Arabidopsis thaliana: one gene and its partner. The protein of the gene in region 1 interacts with the protein of each later gene in a pairwise test. Each region holds a gene or a part of one and is shown in the gene's direction. Other genes may lie near its edges.

Region 1 (7,864 bases):
TACCACCGCCATCACCACCGCGCAAGGAACTAAGTATTGATGACTCTGAATGTACCATGATGCCCAACGCCTACTCAATGTAATACAAGAATATGAACTAAAAACACCATCCTAGTAAGTTACAACAAAGCATATTAATTAAAAAACACCATCCTAGATTCCTAGTAGTTACAAGAACGCGTATTGATTAGAAAAGATTGCAATCAATTAAATTGAATATCTTTGGCAATGCATGTTATGATGATCTAAGTTCATCATCACAATTAACCAACAAAAGAAGACATGCAGATCTTCAAAACCCATGATACAGTTTTGAGTAACATGTGAACGAATCAGTACGCATTAATCCATGAATCATAAGAAATCCTTATCCACATTTTCCAGAAACAGACTCCAAATCTCGAAATTATCAACTTTTAAAATTGTTAATCAATCGAGAGATGGAAGCGATTGATAAGATCAATTTCGAGTCTACAAGTAACAAAAAATAAAAGAATGAAGAATAGAGAAGAAGGGTACAAAGATTTACCAGAAATGAAGGAAGGAGTAGTGATAATGGCGGAGATGACGAGTCGATTGGCCGGAGCGGGAGATATGTGAGTCGCCTACTCAAATTGGGTTAATTTGGCATTGTCCTGCAAAACAAAACTAAACAATCAATTTTAATTAAATTCTGTTTTCTCTTTTCAAGGATTCAATTTTTAATAACTCAGTCAAATAAGTCACTCACATAATTCTTATGAACAGAGTCCTAGCATGCATCTTTGGCTCTGGCTCTATAACTTCTTCAATTCCTATTTTATACAAGTTCATCAAGATTAATTTATATTGATGATGATTTAGGGTTTTAGTGGATCTCTTTTTTTTTTTTTTTTGTTGATCAAAGCTTTTTTAGTGGATCTATGAATGTTTTTTTTTGGAAATATAATCTTTGAAAATATTATAAATCTAGAGATTTGGTAGTTTTATTAAGTAATATTTTTTGGAAAAGTAATATTTGAAAATATTCTAAAAATCTTCTATTCTTTTCTTTTAGAAGTTTCTAAATAATGATCTCCAGAATAATATAGGAAAACAAAAGTTTAAGTATATGTGATTCAATGTTGCATGATCTAGGGTTTTAATGAATACTATTTTTATTAAAAAACAACTTTTGAAAATATCATAAATCTTTAGATTTTTCTCCGGATTAATTTATGTTTGGTTTTCTCGACATTATTTCTAACATTATTTATTTTCTATCTTTTTAATCGTTTTGTTTGTTTTACGTTATCACCCGTTCGGCTTCTATATCAAAAAAGTTCGATATACTATTTTCTATTATAATCGTTTAACCTTAAATGAAGAACATATTACGCTAAAAATAAATCATAAAATCTGAATAAATCATAGTGAGTTGATGCATTTTTCATTCTATTTTTTCGTACTTATATTATATTAATTTAGTAATTTCTCATTTAACTAACAAATAAAATCCTTATTTTTGTCCTTTTCCATAATTTCTGTAATCAAAATCTAAAAAGAGATAAAATAATAAGATAAAAGCAAAAAGAACTTATAAAGTAGTAGAAGAAAAACAATTTAAAAAGAGATTTGTATTGGTTGACATTATAATGTGATAAATTAATTCATGCGTCGACAAAACAAAGAAAAAGGAAGATAATTCTCGCTCTACTGTATTCACAACCACCATCAACAGTAACTCCAGATTATTATGCAGCTCCTATTGCTCTTCTCTCTCTGGTCTTCTTCTTCTTCTTCCTCCTCCAGTTTTCTCTGCAATCCTCACTTTCTCTCTCTCCCCATCTCTCTAAATGCAGCTACTTCTCTTTCATCACTGCTGATTCTCCGTCTTAGCTCCCATTTCTCCATGAAGTTCTCGCAGCTACTCCGACGAATTGTGCTGTCGGTGAGTTTTTCGCGCCTTCGAGAATCTTCGCTGGATTATCTCAAAGTTGATTTCTTTAGGCTTCTTACATGATGTTAGATTCTGGGTTCGTTTATGTTTTCTTCCTTCTTTTGAGGCGTTGCGTATCATCTTGTTTTCCGATTGTAATTTGAAAATTTCAAGGTAATTCTATAGGTTACTTGACTTGTAGGGTTCATAAACGAAGTTTGGGATGATTTTTCTCTTATAAAGAATCAAAGATGCCATTTTTAAGTTTATATCATCAGTTCAAGTGTTGTAATTTAGGAAGCTGAAGTCTCTTCTATCTCTTGTTTTGCGTTGTGACAGAGGTGAAAAAGGTACGGTGGTGTTATCTTTAATAAGTAGCATTGTAAAAGGAGATGAATTTGGGAGCTTGGGGTCAGAGATTCATCCAAGCAGCAGCTTCTTCTGAATCGGAGGATTCTGCTTTGGATTTGGAGAGAAATCATCACTGCAATCACTTGAGTCTTCCATCATCTTCAAGTCCATCTCCTCTTCAGCCATTCACACTCAACATCCAACATGCTGAGAGCAATGCCCCTTACTTCTCCTGGCCTACGCTCAGCAGGCTTAACGACACTGTTGAAGACCGAGCTAACTACTTTGGTAATCTCCAGAAAGGGGTTTTACCAGAAACTGTTGGCAGGTTGCCATCAGGACAACAAGCCACTACTTTGCTTGAGCTCATGACCATCAGAGCGTTTCATAGTAAAATCCTGCGCCGCTTCAGCCTTGGTACTGCGGTTGGGTTTCGGATCAGCCGTGGTGTTCTAACGAATGTTCCAGCGATACTTGTCTTTGTTGCTAGGAAAGTCCATAGGCAATGGCTAAATCCAATGCAGTGCCTTCCTTCTGCCCTTGAGGTGGAGTTATCTTGTGTTCTATTCCCTTCTACACATAGCCTTTCAGAAATTTTATCGGAGCATATATGATAAGCGATGTGTTCATTTCATAATAGGGTCCTGGAGGGGTATGGTGCGATGTAGATGTTGTGGAATTCCAATACTACGGTGCTCCTGCTGCAACACCAAAGGAACAAGTTTATAATGAACTTGTAGATGGTTTGAGAGGAAGTGATCCCTGCATTGGCTCTGGTTCTCAGGTACATCGTTGTTTTTTCCTTCCATCTTCTGCAACCTATAAGCGTAAAGTCTCAGTTTTGTTTCATGTTGTGTAGGTTGCAAGCCAAGAAACATATGGAACCTTGGGAGCTATAGTGAAAAGCAGAACAGGTAACCACCAGGTTGGTTTCCTTACCAATCGGCATGTCGCAGTTGATTTGGATTATCCAAGCCAGAAAATGTTTCATCCTTTACCTCCAAGCCTTGGACCGGGTGTCTACCTCGGTGCAGTTGAGAGAGCAACATCGTTTATCACAGATGATCAGTGGTATGGCATATTTGCTGGCACAAATCCAGGTACTCCAGTTATAATTTCATAGCAAATCTCTGCATCTTTCTGTTCAGGAACTGGCATATTTGGACACTCTTGTTTCATACTGAGTACTGACTATACAGGGCATCTTTCATATCTATCCCAATGCAGAAACGTTTGTGAGAGCGGATGGTGCCTTTATTCCTTTTGCAGAAGATTTCAACACGAGCAATGTAACTACGTTGATAAAGGGCATTGGTGAGATAGGAGATGTGCACGTTATAGACTTGCAATCCCCAATTGATAGCCTTATTGGGAAACAAGTTGTCAAAGTTGGAAGAAGCTCTGGATATACCACCGGAACCATAATGGCTTATGCATTGGAATACAACGACGAGAAAGGGATCTGTTTCCTCACGGATTTTCTGGTCATTGGTGAAAACCAGCAAACTTTTGACCTTGAAGGTGACAGTGGAAGCCTAATACTCTTAACGGGTCCAAATGGTCAGAAGCCACGACCAGTTGGGATCATTTGGGGAGGAACAGCCAACCGAGGAAGACTTAAACTAATAGCCGGTCAAGAACCCGAGAACTGGACAAGCGGAGTTGATCTTGGTCGCCTTTTGGATCTCTTGGAGCTTGATCTCATCACATCCAACCATGAACTTGAAGGTTTTAGAACTCTTTTCCTAGCACTTGTATGACAATGGTTCCCAAGTTCTCATGACTTGTTCTTTTGACTTTTGTACACTTGCAGCAGCAGCAGCAGCACGAGAAGAAAGAAACACTTCGGTTACAGCCCTTGATTCAACCGTTAGCCAGTCATCCCCGCCTGACCCGGTTCCATCAGGAGACAAACAAGATGAGAGCTTTGAGCCATTTATTCCGCCTGAGTTCCATATAGAAGAAGCAATCAAACCAACACTTGAAGTTGAGGAACATATCTTCATTGCTCCTATATCGGTTAACGAGTCTACTTCCGCCATTAAAGGGCAAGAGATACCCAAATTGGATAATCTCATGGCTTTAAAGAACAGTTCCGAAGAAGAGGTTAACATATCGTTGCATCTAGGTGAGCCCAAACTAAAGAAGCCAAAGTTTTTTTAGCTGAACCAGGAAATTGATCTCTTATACCAGTTTCCGGGTTTAGATTGGTTTGATGGCGATTTGATTAAACCCCCGAAATTTTATGTCGTAGTTGTGCATAGTATTATTATTCTTTGCGGACAATAGACGTATCGGGACCAAGTTCTGTAGCAAAATTGTATAAGCTTAAGTTTGATGAAATTTAAAGGTAATCACTAAAACCCAAATGGGACAATAAACCGGTGAAGATTTAGAGTTTTTAATTTTGACTCATGAATCTGGAGAAAGAGCCCTCGTTAAAAGGAGTGAATCAATCCATAGGGGAAAAAGTTTTGTCTTTTTAAAAACTAAAGAACCAAACCTTAATAGAAGCAGCTCAATGTGTGACAACTTTCCACTGGCACTAAGATAAAGTGACTAGCGATGAGTGCAATTATTGAAATAGTAGATGGTAAATATTACATACAAGAGTAAAAATATCTTTATGTCAATGCTTAATTCAGTGTTTCTGGTTAACAAGAGAAACTTCTCTAACTTTCGTAATTGGGTCTTATAAAATTTTATGCAATTATGATTTTACCCTTTTACTACTTTTCATTAGCTTTCACGAATCTATTTTGACAAGAGAAATCATTAGAGGTAAACATGCTTTTTGGTCAAGGGCCTTAACAGTTCCACCAATCAAGCTCAAAAGTTGTACTTAACCGACATCTTCTGTGAAAACATATAATTACATGTACAAATCAAAACTACCTTATGAAATAAATAGAAATATTGCAGTTCATTTCTAATTTAACCTCTTCAACTTTTAAAACTATTTACATTTCTTTATGTCATTTCTAGTCATTTTGATGCAAATTGTACCATTTATGGATTATCTTCACAAATTTTTAAGTTGGTGAAAACTTTTTGGTGGGTAGTTAAAACTTGAAATAGAAATTTACTTTACCAAAATAAACTAATGAAAAGTAATCACTCCACTCCCTATAATAAGATTTCCAACGTTCCCACTAAGCAAATCATAAACCCACCGAGACGATGTCTCTCATCATCGTCTTCTTCTTCTTCTCACTCTTGCTCACATCCAATGGACAGTTCTTCGACGAGAGCAAGAACTATGAAGGCTCCTCCGATCTCGTTGACCTTCAATACCACTTGGGTCCGGTCATATCCTCGCCGGTGACGAGTCTCTACATCATTTGGTACGGCCGATGGAACCCAACTCACCAATCTATAATCCGAGACTTTCTCTACTCTGTCTCTGCACCGGCACCGGCTCAGTACCCGTCAGTATCCAACTGGTGGAAGACAGTGAGGCTATACAGAGACCAGACAGGTTCCAACATCACCGACACTCTTGTCTTATCCGGAGAGTTCCACGACTCAACGTACTCTCATGGATCTCATCTCACTCGCTTCTCTGTTCAGTCTGTGATCAGAACTGCCTTGACTTCCAAGTTACCACTAAACGCTGTAAACGGCTTGTACTTAGTCTTGACCTCGGATGATGTAGAGATGCAAGAGTTCTGCAGAGCGATTTGCGGGTTTCATTACTTCACTTTCCCAAGCGTTGTGGGTGCAACCGTACCGTATGCTTGGGTGGGCAACAGTGAGAGACAGTGTCCAGAAATGTGTGCGTACCCATTTGCACAGCCTAAGCCATTTCCGGGGAGCGGGTTTGTAGCCAGAGAGAAGATGAAACCGCCAAATGGAGAGGTAGGAATCGATGGGATGATCAGTGTGATAGCTCATGAGCTGGCAGAAGTGTCGAGTAACCCGATGTTAAACGGATGGTATGGAGGAGAGGACGCGACAGCACCGACAGAGATAGCGGATTTATGTTTGGGAGTGTATGGGTCAGGAGGAGGAGGAGGCTATATGGGAAGTGTGTATAAGGATAGGTGGAGGAATGTGTATAATGTGAAGGGCGTTAAAGGAAGAAAGTATCTAATTCAATGGGTTTGGGATCTTAATAGGAACAGATGCTTTGGACCAAACGCTATGAATTAGAGACTATCATGTTTGTTACCTCTTTTCACCAAAGCCTTGAGCTTGAAGCTTGGGGAAACCTGTATATGGTTTATCTTTTCCTTGCCTAGTCGATTCTATGCATTTGATTGTTTAAGACTACAAAATCTAGGTATTACTAGCTGTCAAGATTCACTTGACAAAGTTTCTGAACCAAACACATGCTTTGACATTAGCATAAAACTCCACAACTACCTCAAAACGGCTGTACTGCCAAAGTATGTAGGCATTGTTCTATGACAGTACTATATATAGTACAGTCAACATGATTAAGAAGACACTTACTCCACCAAAATGACACAACAGCTAGAGAACACCCTCACCTTCTATTGTAGAAGCATCCTTGAAGAGGCCTTGTTCTGTTCGTAAGTGTTTCCAACTCCAGTTGAGTGTTTATCGTTCATCACGTCCAAGGAAGTCATGGAAGGGGACTTCAGAAGCATACTCTAAGGCCAAGAAATTTTCAGCAGGATCATTATTGTTTCCTTTATTCTTTTCCGAGTCATCTTCATTACGTCCAAAGAAGTCACGGACGTGGACTTCAGTAGCTGACTGTGAGGCCAATAAATTTTCAACAGGATTATCATCCTTTTGCGAGTCACATTCATTACGTCCAAGGAAGTCATGGACGGGGACTTCAGTAGCTGACTGTGAGGCCAAGACAGTTTCAATAGGATTATCATTCCTACCTCTATCCATTTGCGAGTCGCCTTCATTACGTCCAAGGAAGTCATGGACATGGACTTTAGTAGGTGACTGTGAGGCCAAGACTTTTACAGTCAGATCATTGTTTCCTCTATCTTTTTCTGAGGCCAAGACAATTTTAATAGGACCAGCTTTGTTTTCTCTATCCTTTTCTGAGTCATCTTCAACGAGTTTTGGTCTCAGCAGCTTCCTTTTCTTGTTCGGAGAAGCTGAATGTTCGGGGTTGTCTTTACACCCTTGAGTTGGATTACCAAGGCTCCTTTGAGCTCTGCTACGGCGCTTAAAATCAATGAATGGTAGCTTTTGAACACTATGTTCCATACTTCCTTCACAATCCAACAGATCATCTGGAGTAGTCTCAGTAAAAGTAAGCATCAAATCATTGTCAAGTACCTCTGCTGTATGAATCTTTTCCTTTTTCTTCTTCGGTATTGCAACATCTTCAGAATTACTCATATTTGCTCTTTTTTGCTCCATCCAATCTTTGTGACAGTCATTTAAAAAGGCCATGACCTCATCTACTGATTCAGTGTCAGGAGACGTATCCCTTTCAGCATCAAGTTGTTTTAAACGCCCACCCAACCTATTAAAGACACTTGGTCTGGTTCTGTTTCTTTCAAGTTTAGCAGGACTAACACGATGAGTCACCCTATTGTTAGAGTCAAAAGCATCACCGCCAAATTCTTTATGCGGTTGATAAGCTTGAACTTCGTTATTGGCTCTGTTCTCTGGATACAAATC
Region 2 (7,065 bases), 4.4 Mb from region 1:
CCCTATATCTAGAACTCAAGACATACAACTTATATCATACAATCTAAAAATACAATTAAATTCTCTATTACGATTTTATACTAAAACATCAACCAAAGTAACCATAATTTTTTATGAATAAAAATATTCTATGCAACAAAAAAATTGTTTTACAGCAAATGCTTTATAGTAATCAAGAGGTGGAATTCGAAATCTGAGATAGCACTTTGTAACCTAAGATAAAAATTAGTGTTACGGGTTTGAAGTCAATAGTAAAAACATCTTTCGTAAGATCATATTCTTGGCGTTCGTATAGTGGTGAGACTGTTTCGTACACTTTTGTTAATAACTCCTATGAATCTCCAAGGCAGAATGGAGGAATTTCACAAAAAGAAAAATCTCAATATCATTTCTGATGAAATTGATGGTCAGACAAATAAAAACAAATTTCCGACCGGTAAAAAATTTAATTCTCTAACTTTTAAATTTTTTTAAACGTAATCGAAAATTCTTTAAAAAAATATTAAGTTAATTTTTTTATTTTAAAAATATAATCTGAGTTTATTAAAAAATTAATCATTATCTCATAGATATTAATACATTTACCAATAATTTATCTCGTGGAGGTTACATTGACTTCTACAAACTATTCAAATCGATAACTCTAATTCGCTAAGTAATCCCCAAATCTTTTCTCAGTATCTTTGGCATAAATAAAGCCAAATCTTCTCGAGTGAATAGCAATAATTATACATCATGGCTTATATATTGTATTTTTCTGATAACAAATGTGCATTATTTCTATCATCCACTAACTAATAATTAAAAATTCAATATTGACCGTACTATTATAAAAAAAAAAAACAATGGTTGGAAGTTTGAAATACGTAAACAACAAAAAAACAAAAAAAAATAAAACTTCGTTCGTTAGTACCGTATGAATTCATAGATACAACATATACAAAATAAGTATTTTACCCAACATGTGTCTTCTTTCACTGGTTTGATCTCATTCGTTTTGCATGGGCTAACAAAACAATTATTTCAAATACGCGAAGATTATTATTTCTATGCGACCATTTTATAGAAAAGATAATTTAGATAAGATATAAAGGAGACATTTTTAGAGGAGATAACATTGAAATATATAGTATAATATATTTTTAGAGATTCATAAATTATAAATTTAGAAAAGGACATTAAAATTTGATATAGAAAAGGAATTTAAAAGTAAGTAAAAGTTTACAAAATCAGAAATGAAAAAATAAAATGCTTTTAAAAAAAATGTAGACGTGCACGACAATCATATATATTAGTCGGTTAGGTCAACGATTCCCATGTCGCTAATTTATAATGCATTCCGTTGACAAATATTTAAAAATGTTTCAATTATACATCTTGAGGTCTGTTTTTGCACACATAACACGTCATATATCATTGACAAAGAAAACACGTCGTAATTTTCTTTTTCTTTTTCTTTCATGTAGTCTTCTTGGCTTAAAAGAATTCAGCTAAGTAAGTATGGTTGATATTTTCTTCTACAAGTGATAAAACTTTGGAATTTTTGAATAAGTATAATTACAAGAAAACACTGCATATAACAACTACAAGAAAACACTGCATATACCAAAATTATCGAAACATGTATATTCCGACAAACTGAAATCACCGGAAAACGGTGGTGTATTGAAACAAAGAGTTGTTTTAACTGAAGTTTGAAAGTAAACAAAAGATTAAAAAGTAATTTATAGTAATGTTAATATTTACTCATGTTTCTGCTTTGGTGATTAGTAATAAATCTTCTAAAATCTATATGCCATTTTATAAATGCGATTAAAAATTTACCAATTAAACCTTATTTAGAAAAATGTAGAGAAAACTTCAAATTATCTCCTCAAGTAGGATTAGATCGAGCTGCAAATTGGCTCTTTTTATTCATTTAATTTCCTCCATTCCTAACTGTATTGGTATTGTTTACTTTATTTCTATAAGCAACAAAAAAAAAAGAATCTTGTGGACAGGTGACAATTTATGAGTCAGCCAGAATTGCCACGTGTCGGAAGATCAGTTGCCGTGGTAAAAGGTGTTTTTTAGATTCTCAAAAAAAAAGTAGTTAAAGAGAATAATATCAAAGAGTCAACTCCACAGTTCACAGATCCACCGTTGGATCTAACTTTTGGATTATCAACGGCCCAGATAATAGTTAACCGGAATCACTCGGTTACCGAGGTAGTCAATAGTTCTGTGTTTTAAAAAGAAATGCGTCCATGTGATCACTTTTATTTTATTTGTAGTCAGCTTTTGTTTTCCTACTTTGTCGTTTTTCTTTATCGCTGTTCTCAACTAAAGACTTGTAGACTATACTAATAAGATATAGTCAACGATTGTCGCTGTTATTATAGCCTTTAATCTCTATTAATGATTGTTAATTGTTCCACAATCTGTGTAGATTAATTAGGTAAAATTAAAAGTCAAGAAAAGATTGTTTTCAATTTACTAGTTTTCCAGTCAAGACGTTTTCTAGAAGGCTATGAGGTAAGAAAAAAAAAATATATATTAGGTGCAAAGTTAATATGGGAGTCAAATATTATTTTCAAATAATTATTATTGTCAATGCACTGCAAAATTAGTAATAATTCTAGAAAGAAATTGAAATAATAAAAATATGCTGCAAACACGAGTTTGGTATGTGTGCACCATATAATATTGACAAGTTGTAGTGTTGGTTGAAGCTAAAAATAACACAAAAACATAAAAAGAACATGAATAACGCCTAAAACTTAACACGAATAAAATAAAAAAACATAAAATATATTATCAAAAGTCAAAATCACAAAAGAAATTAATACCATTTTACAATTAGCTGAAAATTTATTCTATCAAAATCCAGTCCTATTAAAGAAAAATATGTGATTTGAGATGAAATTAATATTACATATTTTGATTTGGTTCAAGAATAAATTATGGATTTTGGTTAAAGACCTTCTAATATTCCAAAGAAACAAAAAAAAATCAGCCCAATTGTTCATACAAATAAAAACAATTCATTACCTTTAATTTTAAATTTATTGACTTGAACTTGAAGACATAAGATACCTAATAAAAGAAAAAATAGATATGAGACTTTAAAAAAGCTTTATGATTTTCTTTAGACACCATCCTTTAATGTTTTTTATTTGACTTTTTGTTTCTTTGAAATTCCTTTACCACCATTTTCCCCAAATTCAAGTTTACGCACAATGATTCCTTTATTTTAAAGACACGATTATAAATTCTTGCTTTGCACAAAAGAAGACCCTACATATCTCACAACTCAAGGAGACCAAACTTTGATTACTTTATTCCATAGAAATCTTCAACTCAATCTCAGCCGTTAGATCTAAAGCACCGATTTGACTAAACTCCATCTTAAACCTACTCAACCGGTCACTCGGTCACACCCATAACCCCATATATCACGCCAACGCCATTCTTTTTTCTTCCAGTTTCGCTCTCTCATTCATCAAAAAAAACTTGCACATCTTCTCAGATCTTCAAGTTTCTCCTCTGGTTTCTCATCATGACCGTTGATATTATGCGTTTACCTAAGATGGAAGATCAAACGGCTATACAAGAAGCTGCATCACAAGGCTTAAAAAGCATGGAACACTTGATTCGTGTCCTCTCTAACCGTCCCGAAGAACGTAACGTTGATTGCTCTGAGATCACTGATTTCACAGTTTCTAAGTTCAAGAAAGTTATCTCTCTTCTTAACCGTTCCGGTCACGCCCGGTTTAGACGTGGTCCGGTTCATTCCCCTCCTTCCTCCTCCGTTCCTCCACCGGTGAAAGTGACAACTCCGGCTCCCACTCAGATCTCTGCTCCAGCACCGGTTAGCTTCGTTCAGGCAAATCAACAAAGCGTGACGTTAGATTTCACTAGACCGAGCGTTTTTGGCGCTAAAACCAAGAGCTCGGAGGTTGTTGAGTTTGCTAAAGAGAGCTTTAGCGTATCTTCTAACTCTTCTTTCATGTCTTCTGCGATCACCGGTGATGGAAGTGTCTCTAAAGGCTCTTCGATCTTTCTTGCTCCGGCTCCAGCGGTGCCAGTGACTTCCTCCGGGAAACCGCCGCTTTCTGGTCTTCCTTACAGGAAGAGATGCTTTGAACATGACCACTCTGAAGGCTTTTCCGGCAAGATCTCTGGCTCCGGCAACGGCAAGTGCCATTGCAAGAAAAGGTATTGTTATTACTCCACAATAAATTAATCATTTGTTTGACTAGCCTAGTAGTAGTTAATTGTTTGGTTCGATACGGTCTAAACCAATCGCTCACGGACTCAGTGAAAATATATCACGAATTCAGATTTCAAAATTCTTTTTTTGCCTCGAATTTGTCAATCATGAACAAGTCTACTAGTTAAATTAACTAGTCTCAGTAAAAAATAAAGAATAAAAATCCGGGTTTAATACTTTGTAGACCGGTTTGGTACTATCTAAACCAATCGGTCAATGTATTTAGTGAAAGTCAACGACAGTAACTTAAACCAAAGTGCACGCCTGACAAGGACAAGTTAGTGGGTGCTGTCGTTTTGTATAGGGAAAGTTTTTACGTTTTAAAAGTCTTTGTCTGCCCGTTGACTTTTGCTAACCTGATGCATGTTCACGTTAGTCGTGTCAGCGCACGTTAAATCATTTCACTAATTACAATGTTTTATTATTTAATTAACAGCCGAAAAAATCGGATGAAGAGAACCGTGAGAGTACCGGCGGTAAGTGCAAAGATCGCCGATATACCACCAGACGAATATTCATGGAGAAAGTATGGACAAAAACCGATCAAAGGCTCACCACATCCACGGTAACTATCGTACACCATCGCTATCCACCGTTGATTTATTTGTGAAACATTGGAGATCTAACGGTTGTGATTTGTTTTTGTTGATTTCAGGGGTTATTACAAGTGTAGTACATTTAGAGGATGTCCAGCGAGGAAACACGTGGAAAGAGCTTTGGATGATTCAACGATGTTGATTGTGACGTACGAAGGAGAGCACCGTCATCACCAGTCCACGATGCAGGAGCATGTAACTCCTAGCGTGAGTGGTTTGGTGTTTGGTTCGGCTTGAAGAATTAATTAGTTTGGTAGTTTTGTAATATTTTGAGAAATAGAGGGGTTGGTTTTGTAATTTTTTTTCTATAACAAAATTAGTTTTAGATTTTTTTTTAGTAGTCTTTTGAATGGATTTTAATCTTACTACCGAGAAAGAAAAAATTCTTACTACATTTTCATAATTTCTTGTTTGATATATTTAGTGGTGTCATGTAAGAAAATGATGTTTAGCAAAGTAATTGGTATATAAATGTGTAGGCATATGTATTTAATGATATGGTTCGTAAAGTTACCATTACTCTGTTTGATCTAGTTATGATTTGTGATGGTTGATTTAGGGGAAAAATGTCATTTAATCCCCCAACTTTCAAAAAATGGCCATTTTATACATCAATTTCATATGTGGCCGTTTAAAACATGAACTAAACGTTGACTAATTTTTAAAACATGATCTTTCGTTGACCAGGCCAAAATAGACATGCCGTTATCAGTCATTAACGGAACTTCTAACGTCCGTTATCATTCGTTAACTTTATTAGTCAAGTTTCAAATTGTGGCCATTTTAAACATCAACTTCTTATGTGGCTATTTAAAACATGAATTAAACGTTGAATACCATTTAAAACATGAAAAATTCGTTGACCAGGCCAAAATAGACATGTCTTTATCAGTAGAACCTAGAAACCCGTTAATGACTGTTAATCTGTCCAAAATAACGTCGTTCAAGAATAATCGAAAGAACATAAAGATTTTTTCCATATGAAATCTCCATATCAAAAAGTTTTAAGCAGAACCCAAGAACATAGTTTGATAAAGAGATAATCGCAGTGCCAGTAATTGGAAGCAAATAAAGGTGTTTTCGTTTATATATTTGTTTTAAATTTTAAAAGGAATCATGGAAGCAAATTGAAGACTCATTATAAGATTGTTCGTCTTGTTTGAGCGGTTGTAAAAATAGATTTGGGGAAGTAGGGTTTCATTTAGAAAACAATCCTGATTTTCTTTTGATTACTCTCAAAACAAAGTCGTTTTAGGGATACTAATAGAGTCGTTAACAAGTGATAATGAATGTTATAAGTTCTTTTAATGAATGATGACAACATGTTTATTTTGGCTTGGTCAACGAATTTCTCATGTTTTAAATGGTAATCAACGCTTAGTTCATGTTTAAAATGGCCACATATAAAGTCGATGTTTAAAATGACCACAATTTATAACTTGACTAATAAAGTTGTTAACGGATGATAACGGACGTTAGAAGTTCCGTTAATGACTGATAATGGCATGTCTTTTTTGGCCTGGTCAACGAATAATCATGTTTTAAAAGTTAGTCAACTTTTAGTTCATGTTTTAAACGGCCGCATACGAAATTGATGTATAAAATGGCCATTTTTTAAAAGTTAGGGGATTAATTGACATTTTTCCCGTTGATTTAATGGAGGGTTAGACTTTTGGAATGGGGTTGTTAATGCAATGTTTGACTATTATGTAAGTTTATAGAAAGTCAAAAAGAGATTTCAATGAGTTGTTGGGAGATATTAGATGTGGAGGTTGAACAATATGAATTAATGCGGATTTGAGGGTCAACGAAATCATTATGATGTTGGAAGACAAATAATTTTTGGAACAATATTAAGGAACATTTGCGCTATGGAACATAAGTTCTCACTAAAGGTATGACACATATTTGCATTTGTTTATGTGTATTTCAAAGTTTTGATTAATATGTCATACTTGGTCATAATTGAATACTTTTTGCAGTGTTTGTTTATGAGTATTTTGAAGTTTTGTTCTATTGGATGTTTTGGATATGATATTGCCCCTCCAGCTTCGGATCAGATTCCTTTTCAAATCGATTTTGTGCTTGTGGTTGTTACTAGAAATTAAGACGATTGAGATCTTCACATATCTAATGCTACTAGTGTTTATAAAGTGTTGTTACTTGGTTGATAATTTGTTGATTGTGGCTTAAAAAGGTCTTATCTATGGGAGAAGG

Evidence for each region.
Region 2: the proteins of AT2G35155 (region 1) and WRKY17 interact in a two-hybrid assay, tested with the Arabidopsis thaliana proteins (one large-scale study listed by BioGRID).

What each region holds. Positions count from the first base shown.
Region 1 is NC_003071.7:14,815,756-14,823,619, reverse strand, and holds AT2G35155 (Trypsin family protein), read left to right. Parts: upstream 1-1,597; 5' UTR 1,598-1,909; exon of another isoform or gene 1,910-2,071; intron 2,072-2,236; 5' UTR 2,237-2,289; coding exon 2,290-2,793; intron 2,794-2,888; coding exon 2,889-3,032; intron 3,033-3,107; coding exon 3,108-3,348; intron 3,349-3,475; coding exon 3,476-3,976; intron 3,977-4,061; coding exon 4,062-4,411; 3' UTR 4,412-4,654; downstream 4,655-7,864. Other genes in the region: SUVH5 (SU(VAR)3-9 homolog 5), read right to left, coding at 1-58; EXL7 (EXORDIUM like 7), read left to right, coding at 5,429-6,400; AT2G35140 (DCD (Development and Cell Death) domain protein), read right to left, coding at 6,812-7,864.
Region 2 is NC_003071.7:10,435,696-10,442,760, reverse strand, and holds WRKY17 (WRKY DNA-binding protein 17), read left to right. Parts: upstream 1-3,291; 5' UTR 3,292-3,538; coding exon 3,539-4,197; intron 4,198-4,688; coding exon 4,689-4,817; intron 4,818-4,907; coding exon 4,908-5,085; 3' UTR 5,086-5,408; downstream 5,409-7,065.